3 linked regions of the Ovis aries genome follow. The protein of the gene in region 1 interacts with the protein of each later gene in a biochemical or structural test. Links are inferred from orthologs where the notes say so. Each region holds a gene or a part of one and is shown in the gene's direction. Other genes may lie near its edges. The genes, in order: TOR1A, TOR1AIP1 and torsin-1A-interacting protein 2.

Region 1 (4,159 bases):
TGTGATGAGAGAACAGGTTGGTTGGCCCCTGGGCTGATTTAAGTCAGGTATCGTGTGGTTAGTGACATTTGGCTTTGGAGTCGGATCTGAGTCCTGCTCTCAGCTTCTTTATTAAATCCTTGGACACATCCATTTGCCTTGCAGCCTGTTTTCTCATCTGTAAGAGATTTCCTTTTCTTCCCCTTCACTCAGATGCAAGGTCAGTGAAGGCAGGATTCACCTGCACCTCATTTTTTTTTTTCTTTAATCTCCAGGATCTAGTCCATAGGAGATCCTCAAAATTATGAATGAATGAATGAGAGGAAGTAACTGTTACCTGGGAGAGACCTGACCAACACTACCTTATCCAGGTGAGGAAGGTCAACATCAGCAGTCATAAATCATGTTGATTATAGTACCTATGATACGATGGTATAAAAAGAGTATCTCTGTAAAGTATATTCCTCCCCCAAACCCACAACTCCAATCTAATCATAAGAAGACCATTAAATTCCAATAGTTGAGGATCCTACAAAAGATCAGGGCTTTCCTAGGTGGCTCAATGGTAAAGAATCCCCCTTCCAAAACAGGAGGCACGAGTTGGATCCCTGGCTGGGGGGAATCCCCTGGAGATGGAAATGGCAACCCACTCCAGTATTCTTGCCTGGGAAATCCCATGGACGGAGGAGCCTGGCTTGGGGTCGCAAAAAAAAAAAAGCAACTGAACGGCTAAACAACAAGGAAATAAAAAACTTTAATTACAATATCTCAACATGGGCTCATTAATTTTAACAAATGTAAACACGACTGAAGCTACTTAGCAGCAGCAGCAACATAACTAACGACAGCAACAACAAAACCTACTAATGTAAGATGTAAATAATCGAGGAAACTGCGTGCGAGGGTGTGGTAATATGGAACCTCTCTGTACTCTCCTCTCAACTTTTCTATAAACGTAAGTAAGCAAAGTCGCTCAGTCGTGTCCGACTCTTTGCGACCCCATGGACAGTAGCCTACCAGGCTCCTCTGTCCGTGGGATTCTCCAGGCGAGAGTACTGGAGTGCGTTGCCATTTCCTGCTCCAGGGGATCTTCCAGACCTAGGGATCGAACCCGGGTCTCCCGCATTGCAGGCAGACCGTCTGAGCCACCAGGGAAGCCCATGCAAAACTGTTCCCCAAAAGCAAGTTTTACTAAAAAGAAGGGAAAAAGAAAAAATGGCTCCTCCAACTACCCCAGCGCCTAAAGCAGGAAAGGGCTTTGCCCTTCACAAAGATGGCGGCCGCCGGCGTCGGAGGCGATCCGCCCCTTTGAAGAATGGCGGCGCCGGCGGGAGGAACCGGAAGCGCGGTCTGGTGGCGGCGCCGGTCGGCGGTAGGCGCGAGAACGGGCGGGGCGGCGCGGGTCCCGGCATGAAGCTGGGGCGGGCCGCGCTGGGCCTGCTGCTGCTGGCGCCGTTGGCGGTGCGGGCGGTGGAGCCCATCAGCCTGGGATTGGCCCTGGCCGGCGTCCTCACCGGCTACATCTCCTACCCGCGCCTCTACTGCCTGTTCGCCGAGTGCTGCAGCCCGAAGCGGAGCCTCAGCCGGGAAGGTAGGATGGGCCGGGGTCTGGTGCCTGAGCTGGGAAGGGGGTCAGAGTTGGGGGCCAGCCAGGAGGCCGGGAAGCCCGGGCAGTGCCCAGCCGGGGGTTGGTGGGGCAGGGGGGTCGGGCCAGACCCGGAACCGGCGTGCGGCACGGGGCCTGGCTCCTGGGCCACGATCGCAGGCCGACCGGACTTTGGTCTGAGACCTGCGGATGCCAGCTGCACCTTCGCCCAGAAAGCGGGCTGGTGGACGATCGGAAACTTCCTCCAGAGAGTTTCTTGCTCGCTCCTTGCCAGAGACGGGAAGGCTGGTGGGGGCTCTCTCGACGCAGAGCGGCGGAGCCGAATTACTCTGCCCTTTTTTTCCTGCCGGCCTTCGGGTGGGGAGGGACAGGGCCGGGGTGAGGGGCTCGCGCTGTTGGCGGAGGTTCTGGAGCCAGGGTCTCATCCGAAAGTGTGGCAGGACTTGCAGAGGGAGGGCCTCCTGGACTCACGGGCCACCTGGGCCTAGTGCCTACCTATGTCTGCGTCCCAGTAAACGCTTGGAAGAGCTTAGCGGGCTTTGCTGGCTTTGCGTGAGCCTGTAAACTGGGCTACGTTTTGCCAGGTGTGCCCCCTACCCTCCGCCTGACTGGCTTTGTTTTTTTTTTCAGCGCTGCAGAAGGATCTCGACAGCAAGCTCTTTGGACAGCATCTTGCAAAGAAAGTCATCTTAAATGCTGTGTCTGGCTTCATCAGCAACCCGAAGCCCAAGAAACCTCTCACCCTCTCCCTGCACGGGTGGACAGGCACTGGCAAAAATTTTGTCAGCAAAATCATCGCGGAGAATATCTACGAGGGTGGGCTGAACAGTGACTATGTCCACCTGTTTGTGGCCACGCTGCACTTCCCACACATCTCGAACATCACTCTGTATAAGGCAAGGGCCGAATTTTGGAGTCCTTCAGGGATGATGCTTGCTTTGGGGTTTCTTTGTTGGGGGATGGATTTGGATGTTCTATGTTGAAAGGAGTGAGCCCTGAAAACAGCCACACGTGGCCGTTTCCCTTTAAAAAGTGTGGAAATTACAGAGGATTGGAGATGGCAGAAGCAATGACACCATCAAAGCTGGTTTCTGAAAACAGGCTGCGGGTGGTACTCAGTAAGTGGTGTAGTAGGATCTTAGAGATGGACGTAATCAAATCCTGGTTAAAGCTCTTCAAATCTAACATGTTTTATAAAAGGGAAAACATTTCTAGGGAGGCCTAAGTTTGCTTTTATACTTGAACTCACTGATTTAACAGCCTGGCTTCCAGGGCAGACACACCTGAATTTGAGCCCCAGGCTCCCACCTATCAGCTGTGTAATGTTGGGAGAGTCACCTGACTTCTCTTGAGACTCAGGTTCTTCATCTGTCAAATGGCAGCTGTGAGAATTTCTTTTTAAAAAAATTTTGACCATGCCAGGTAGCATGTTGGGTCTTCGTTCCCTGACCAGGGTTTGAACCCGTGCCACCCCCTGCAGTGGAAGCTGGGAGTCTTAACCACTGTGTCACCAGGGAAGTCAGAATTTCTTGAGGCCTTAAGCCTGTCATGTAACATGATGCTCAGCGCATGAGCGTTCAAATCATTGGTAACTATTGCCCTTTTTTTTTTTTGTCTCACCTGTGTGAACACATTTTTCCCTTCAGCTTGGATGAGCATCAGGGTCACTGCCCAGGAGTTCCTGGGATGTGAGGCTTTCGCTGCTACAACTGGGAAAGTTCCAGGCAAATAGGGACGAGTTGCTCTTCCTAGTTAGCATTCCATCTTCGCTGTTTAATAGCTGTGTGACTGAGCAAGTTACGTAACCTCCCTGCACCTCAGTTTCCTGGTCTGTGAAATAGGAAATGCAGTAGTTAACTGCTTTGATGGGTTTTGGAAGATCACAATAAAACGGGTGAACCGTGCTTAGAACAGGGTCTTGCCTGTAGTGAGTGCTCCATGTACACTCTCTGTTGTCTGTGAGAGGGAGGAACAGAATGGAAGGCCTTGGCTGCTAGAGCCCGCCAGACCTGAGGGAATTCTCGTTTAAACAGTGACTCACTCTGTGGCCTTGTTCAAGTCACTCCAGCTCTCCTGAGGTTCTTCTGTAAATAGAGGTTAGCTCATATCTACAGAGCAGAGTTGGGCTTCCCAAGTGGTGCTAGTGGTAAAGAACCCACCTGCCAACGCAGGAGATCTAAGAGACACGGGCTCGATCCCTGGGTTGGGAAGATCCCCTGGAGGAGGGCATGGCAACCTGCTCCAGTATTCTTGCCTGGAGAATCCCATGAACAGGGGAGTTGTTCAGTTACAGTTCATGGGTCGCAAGAGTCAGACACGACTGAAGTGACTTTTCACGAACAGAGCAAAGTTACTGCTTTGGTTAATAGGCACCCATGGAACACTGTACGCATGGTCTGAGTAGCCAAGCGAAACTCCAGATCATAAGAAGTCAAGACCTATATCATAGCTTCCAGAATTTTCCTCAGAAACTAATAGCTAACTCTTTCTTTTTACCTTGTGTGTGTGCTTAGTTGCCTCAGTTGTGTCTGACTCTTTGCAACCTCATGGACTGTAGTCTGCTAGGCTCCTCTG
Region 2 (3,650 bases), on another chromosome or scaffold:
CTGAGCCACCAGGAAAGCCCAAGAATACTGGGGTGGATAGCCTAACACTTCTCCAGGAGACCTTCTTGACCCAGGAGTCAAATCTGAGTCTCCTGCATTGCAGACAGATTCTTTACCAGCTGAGAAACCAGGGAAACCCAAAGAAAGAATTGCATAGTAGTATTAGCAGTTTTCTCAGAGTCAATTTTTTTAGAGCAAAAATGTTGTCAAATGCTGATTTGCACTTGCCACTATTAAGTAAAAGTAGCTTGGCTAGTATTGATGTTATACCAATCTAATTAAACTGATTTTTAAAAATTATTTCCACATTCATAGAATGATGGGTTGCTAGTTGCCTTCTACAATACAATTCTTTTTTTCTTTTGAAAAGCAAATAGGAGTTACAATCAACAGAGGAAGATCTGAAAGGAAACAAATTTTCATTCTGGTTCATTCTGTTCTCATATGATCATTCAGCAACATTTTAGCCCAATTGTGCAATTCTTACATTTGGGTATATCTTTCTTTATTTAAAAAAAAAACAATCAGGAAATTCCCTGTGGTCCAGTGGTTGGGACTCTGCTCTTCCACTGCCACAGCCCCAGCTTCAGTCCCTGATTGGGGAACTAAGATACCACAAGCCAAATGACACAGCCAAAAACCCCCCAAAATCAGAATAGCCCATGTGAAAATACAGCATTTCTTTGACACATTTTACTCATTTATCTTTGTCCAAATTCTCTGACTCTGAGAACAGTGGTGTATGTGGACCTGCTGGAACTAGGAGCGTTTCTTTACCTTTCTTACAATCTCTTCAGACTCACCAGTGCATTAAAACACTGCTTTTTCAGCTCTGCTTGTGTGGTTGGCTTTTTCAAAGGAGTATCGGAAATCTAGCAGATATGAGAAAGAGAATACAGTAAACCTATTTACCAACTTGCTACTGCTGCTAAGTCACTTCAGTCGTGTCTGACTCTGTGCGACCCCATAGATGGCAGCCCACCAGGCTCCCCCATCCCTGGGATTCTCCAGACAAGAACACTGGAGTAGGTTGCCATTTCCTCCTCCAGTGCATTAAAGTGACAAGTGAAAGTGAAGTCGCTCAGTCTTGTCCGACCCTCAGCGACCCGATGGACTGCAGCCTCCCAGGCTCCTCCGTCCATGGGATTTTCCAGGCAAGAGTACTGGAGTGGGGTGCCATTGCCCTCTCCGATTTACCAACCTAGGGGACTCTATTTATCAACATAGAGCTTCACACTTTCTACAAACACAAGTTACATTTTATAATACAAATAGACCTCTCAGTGAAGAAACACAGTTTCTGATTCTAGTTTGTAGCACACTTATTCCTGAAATAGTGTAAAGGGAAATAATCCTTTCTTTTTTATGATTTAATGGGAAAAAAAAGTTTAATTGTTGTGATGTAATATTCACTTTCCTAAATTAAATATTCTTATTGATTCCTGAACTTTGGCTTATGATGTTATATACAACATGTATGCTTTTCTTTTCTAGAAGCTGCCAGTGTCCATCAGAAGGTCAATTACTTGGAAGAAGGTATTTTCACTTAAAATACCATGCAGTATTTTCTAAATCTTTTTGTTGTTGTTATTAAGATTAGAAGCACTTTTGGTAAGTATTTAAGAGAGAGGACAGAAAAGAAGGCCTTTTTCTTCAGGAAAAAAAATATTCATGCCTAAAATCTGAACTGTTAAATGGACAGGTAAAATAGAACAGAATGTGTGAAGATGGCTTTTATGTATATATTAAACATCTTTTGTGTGTTGAAATTAATTTAAGCAAAGCTAATATTTCCATTTCTGTCATGTGCTAGCCTTTGATTATGGTATTAAAATAACTAGTTTTCCAAATCTTATCTTTGAATAGTACAGTAAAATTTAGTGTGTTTTTTTAAATTAATTTATTTTTTAATTGAAGTATAATTGCTTTACAGAATTTTGTTGTTTTCTGTCAAACCTCAACATGAATCAGCCATAGGTTAGTCTGTTTTTAAGCTCACCATAATCTGAGATTAGTGCCCTGCATACTGAAATGTTTGTGGATGGGTGTATGTATACACACGCCCTGTTGGCAAACATACACACGTATATGCAAACACATTAGTGCATATACTAATGTTGTATGAATTTGTACTCTAATTGTATTTTTCCTCACCATAAGGTAAAACTTTCCTTCTGTTTAATGTTCGTTTGTTTACTTTTTTACTCTAAAGCCTTAGAATACAATCTTACTGAGTATTCATTTGGGATATAATTATGTACTTCAGAGAACATGAAATGAATGAGCTCAATTTTAGCTTATTTAGAACTTTGTGACTCAGGATAGTAAGCGTAATAAATAGCAATTTGATATCTGATTATTTAAAAGGCTTCATTTTAATGTCAGATTGTTTTTATTATTACTTTTTTAATCCAGATCTTTAAAGATGTAGAATAAAGACTATAATAATGTGTTTTTATTTTGTTTTAGGGGAAACTGAAGAAAATGATCAAGACAGCTCTGACAGTGATGTTACTGTTAAGGTCAGATCCGGGGATTCTGTTGAGTCTGAAGGTAACATTGCTTTATGCTTTATGACTCTTTTCTTAGGAGCTGTAGCTCTAGGTAGAGTATAAAGTATTCTGTGAATTTGCTTTTTTAAAAAATATTTTAAAGTATTAAAACTACTTTTTAAAAAGTGTACTTTTAAACATTTATTAAAATTACTGATTCCATATACATATCACGTATCTGATTAGTAACATACTACCTAACAAACAAATCACTTCTACCTTGCCTTGTTATTTGTGGAACATATCTTTTTGCACCAAAAAAAGTTATTTGTGGTTTTTAAAAAACTTTGATAGAGAAACTGATCACACTGGCATAAACTCACTGTACTGTCAGGAGTGTTAGCTAGCTTTTAGGAAGTTTTAGTGAACTTAGATTACTACTTTTATCTCTGAATTGTTCAAATTCACACCAAGTTAGCAGTAACAGTTTCTGATTATTCATAAAAATTGATGTTTAGTTTATTCAAGGAAAAAATCAGCTGAAGGAAAAAGAAGTACCAGCTTGAGGCTTAGTGAGAGTGCCGATCAAATTTGTAAACAGTGTAACTAATGAGTAGTTTTATTTATATGCTAGTCCCATTAACAATAAAATCTCTACTTTTCCCCACCTTTTGAGAATTTCTATAATTTATTTATGTTTTACTTAATCATTCTATTTTCAAAATGAGCTCAGAAGCCAGTTTATGGGCATTTGATATTCTTTATATTTCCCATCCTTTGTCATGTTCCCCCATCCTTTCTTGACTCATAAATCCCAACAGAGATGTGCAAAACTCTAACATAGTGGTTAAGATCATGACTCTTGAGTTTCACTGCGTTTCACTCTTCCAGTACTATTGATAGGTTTTGTGCCCTCAGGCAATTGCTTAACTTTTCTGTTCCTCAGTTTCCTCACTGGTTTGTTGTGAGGTTAAATTACTCAGAGAGTGCCTGGCAAATAGTAAACGCTCAAATTATGTGCTGTTGTTAGTTGTTGTTAGTTTTCCTATATGCATACACCTGTGCTCTAAAACGGAGAGACTGATTAAGCCATTCATATAGCCGCTTGCTCGATACCATTGCCACCAGTGCTAGTCTTTGAAACCACATAAACCACAG
Region 3 (3,650 bases), on another chromosome or scaffold:
AGGCCATCAGCTCCCTTCAGAGAGTCTGAGTGAAGACCCTGTGGATCCAGAACCCAAGTGTTCTCCAAGTGACAAGGTAGGAAGAACAGACGTACACATAGTGGGCAGCTCTGCAGCCTTCCCTGAGCACGTCAGTGATGGAGCCGGAGCATCTCAGGAGCCACCAGTCGTTGACCCTCAGGATGCCCAGAGCCCTGGCCATTCCAGTGCAGGGCTGGAGAGCCAGCACACACTGAGGAAGCGACTGCTGGCACCAGGTGAGAGAAGCCCTGAGCCTGTCCTGTTGTGTACTGTTCTGTCCTGGGAACACAGCGTAGGTGAGGCCCTCCTTTTCAGAGAGCTTCTCTTTACTTCATAGGATTAAGGCCTTTGCATCTTGCCCAAGGTCACAAAGAGATATGACTATATTGAGATTAAATGAGGTTTCTCATCTCCTAAGACTTCGCTGGTGGCTCAGAAGGTAAAGGTTCTGCCTGCAATGTGAGAGACCCAGGTTCGATCCCTGGGTTGGGAAGATCCCCTGGAGAAGGGAATGGCAACCCACTCCAGTATTCTTGCCTGGAGAATCTCATGGACAGAGGAGCCTAGCAGGCTATAGTCCATGGGGTTGCAGAGTCAGACACGACTGAGCAACTAATGCTCTCGCTTTCAAGCTAGCTCATTCTGCTCACTACATAAGATGCTTCCCACTTATACATAAGCTGCATTTTTTAACAGTTTCCATTTATTTACTGTATCTATGATTTTTTAAATTTTTTACAGGTATGACTTAAAAAATTTACCTCTGGCCTTTTATTTCTTATAAGCATATTTTTGCTTTCACTTTTTAAAATCTTTTACTTTAGGGGAAACTAAATGCTACATGAATCAAGAGATAGGTATATTTAAAAACCAGCATGTGGTACAGTACCCTTGAAGTGAAGTGTTAGTCACTACAGTCTCTGTCTGATTCTTTGTGACCCCATGGACTGTAACCCACCAGGCTTCTCTGTCCATGGGATTCTCCAGGCAAGAATACTGGAGTGGGTAGCCATTCCCTCTAGGAGTTCTTCCCGACCCAGGGATTGAACCTGGGTCTCCTGCATTGCAGGAAAATTCTTTACCATCTGAGCCAGTACCCTTAACTCAGGCATATTTCAGTTTTATAGGACTTTGAGCAAATTAGTTATTTCTCTATACCTGATTGTCTCCACTTGTATATTAAGGAGAACAGCATGCTGTCTTTCCTCACGAAGAATAGTTGCAGTGTGCTAAGTCTTTAACTGGAACTCAAGAGATACGGATTCTAGTTGCAGCCCTACCACTTCCTAACTTGGGTGACTTTAAGCAAATCTCCCAACTTGCTGGTACTTCAGTTTCCTATTTGTAGAAATGAAGAAGTTGAACTAGATGATATCCAGCTGGTTTCTTCCAGCTTTTACCTTCTGTGATATTATGGAGTTGGATTGTATGGATTTGTGTTTTATAAGTACTCTGAAAGCTCAGCCTGAAATGCCTATTTGCCAGAGCAAAGGAATATAAAATATAAGACATTGTTTTTGTTGGACTTGACTGAGGGTTAGAATTCCATGTTTCAGTGTAAGTCAATGACTGATCTCAAATATGCATTTTATTAGTTTATTATTAACTTGAGTGAAGACAAGGGCTATGTCTCACTCATTGTGTTTCTGTGGCTCTTGGCACAGAGAAGTGACTTTATGAATATTTGTTAAATGAGCAAATGATAGGATTTGTATATGGACCAATATGTGCCATCAGAGTTTCAGTGGTATGCAGGTTCACTGAGTAGGGGAAGAAAACATTGGTTTAAAAATGCAGTTTAATGTGTGAGAAGCAGCTTAATATAATGATAAATGACAGATGGTATGGACCTACTGAAGCAGAAGATACTAAGAAGAGGTGGCAAGAATACACAGAAAAACTGTACAAAAAAGATTGTCACGACTCAGATAATCACGATGGTGTGATCACTCACCTAGAACCAGACATCCTGGAATGTGAAGTCAAGTGGGCTTTAGAAACCATCACTACAAACAAAGCTAGTAGAGGTGATGGAATTCCAGCTGAGCTATTTCAAATCCTGAAAGATGATGCTGTGAAAGTGCTGCACTCAATATGCCAGCAAATTTGGAATACTCAGCAGTGGCCACAGGACTGGAAAAGGTCAGTTTTCATTCCAATTCCAAAGAAAGGCAATGCCAAGGAATGCTCAAATTAGTGCACAATTGCACTCATATCACATGCTAGTAAAGTAATGCTCAAAATTCTCCAAGCCAGGCTTCAGCAATACGTGAACTGCAAAATTCCTGAAGTTCAAGCTGGTTTTAGAAAAGGCAGAGGAGCCAGAGATAAAATTGCCAACATCCACTGGATCATTGAAAAAGCAAGAGAGTTCCAGAAAAACATCTATTTCTGCTTTATTGACTATGCCAAAGCCTTTGACTATGTGGATCACAATAAACTGTAGAAAATTCTGAAAGAGATAGGAATACAGACCACCTGACCTGCCTCTTGAGAAATCTGGATGCAGGTCAGGAAGCAACAGTTAGAACTGGACATGGAACAACAGACTGGTTCCAAATAGGAAAAGGAGTACGTCAAGGCTGTATACTGTCACCCTGCTTATTTAACTTCTGTGCAGAGTACATCATGAGAAACGCTGGACTGGAAGAAACACAAGCTGAAATCAAGATTGCTGGGAGAGATACCAATAACCTCAGATATGCAGATGACACCACCCGTATGGCAGAAAGTGAAGAGGAACTAAAGAGCCTCTTGTTGAAAGTGAAAGAGGAGAGTGAAAAAGTTGGCTTAAGGCTCAACATTCAGAAAACGAAGATCATGGCATCTGGTCCCATCACTTCATGGCAAATAGATGGGGAAACAGTGGAAACAGTGTCAGACTTTATTTTTGGGGGCTCCAAAATCACTGCAGATGGTGACTGCAGCCATGAAATTAAAAGACGCTTACTCCTTGGAAGAAAAGTTATGACCAATCTAGATAGTATATTCAAAAGCAGAGAAATTACTTTGCTGAATAAGGTCCGTCTAGTCAAGGCTATGGTTTTTCCAGTGGTCATGTATGGATGTGAGAGTTGGACTGTGAAGAAAGCTGAGTGCCAAAGAATTGATGCTTTTGAACTGTGGTGTTGGAGAAGACTCTTGAGAGTCCCTTGGACTGCAAGGAGATCCAACCAGTCCATTCTGAAGGAGATCAGCCCTGGGATTTCTTTGGAAGGACTGATGCTAAAGCTGAAACTCCAGTACTTTGGCCACCTCATGCGAAGAGTTGAATCATTGGAAAAGACTCTGATGCTGGGAGGGATTGTGGGCAGGAGGAGAAGGGGCCGACAGAGGATGAGATGGCTGGATGGCATCACTGACTCGATGTACGTGAGTCTGAGTGAACTCTGGGAGTTGGTGATGGACAGGGAGGCGTGGCGTGCTGCAATTCATGGGGTTGCAAAGAGTCGGACATGACTGAGCGACCGAACTGAACTGACTGAGGAGATAAGAAACCTCTTTCTAATCTCAGTTTGGTCTTGGGCAAAGCCGTTGACACCTCTGGACCTTTTGTCACAGTAGGTAAGGTAGGAGGCTAGAGTAGGTGATCACTATAGATCCTTTCAGTCCTTAAATTCTGTGACATG

What was found.
Region 2: the proteins of TOR1A (region 1) and TOR1AIP1 form a complex in vitro, tested with the Homo sapiens proteins (2 studies listed by BioGRID and IntAct). The link is inferred for Ovis aries from reciprocal best matches to the Homo sapiens genes TOR1A and TOR1AIP1.
Region 3: the proteins of TOR1A (region 1) and torsin-1A-interacting protein 2 form a complex in vitro, tested with the Homo sapiens proteins (4 studies listed by BioGRID and IntAct, with this or other methods). The link is inferred for Ovis aries from reciprocal best matches to the Homo sapiens genes TOR1A and TOR1AIP2.

The regions. Positions count from the first base shown.
Region 1 is NC_056056.1:6,701,383-6,705,541, forward strand, and holds the start of TOR1A (torsin-1A), read left to right. Parts: upstream 1-1,340; 5' UTR 1,341-1,389; coding exon 1,390-1,570; intron 1,571-2,215; coding exon 2,216-2,481; intron 2,482-4,159. UniProt on the Homo sapiens protein: Protein with chaperone functions important for the control of protein folding, processing, stability and localization as well as for the reduction of misfolded protein aggregates.
Region 2 is NC_056065.1:60,508,137-60,511,786, forward strand, and holds part of TOR1AIP1 (torsin-1A-interacting protein 1), read left to right. Parts: intron 1-1,494; coding exon 1,495-1,536; intron 1,537-2,469; coding exon 2,470-2,553; intron 2,554-3,650. UniProt on the Homo sapiens protein: Required for nuclear membrane integrity. Induces TOR1A and TOR1B ATPase activity and is required for their location on the nuclear membrane. Binds to A- and B-type lamins. Possible role in membrane attachment and assembly of the nuclear lamina.
Region 3 is NC_056065.1:60,446,800-60,450,449, reverse strand, and holds part of torsin-1A-interacting protein 2, read left to right. Parts: coding exon 1-257; intron 258-3,650. UniProt on the Homo sapiens protein: Required for endoplasmic reticulum integrity. Regulates the distribution of TOR1A between the endoplasmic reticulum and the nuclear envelope as well as induces TOR1A, TOR1B and TOR3A ATPase activity.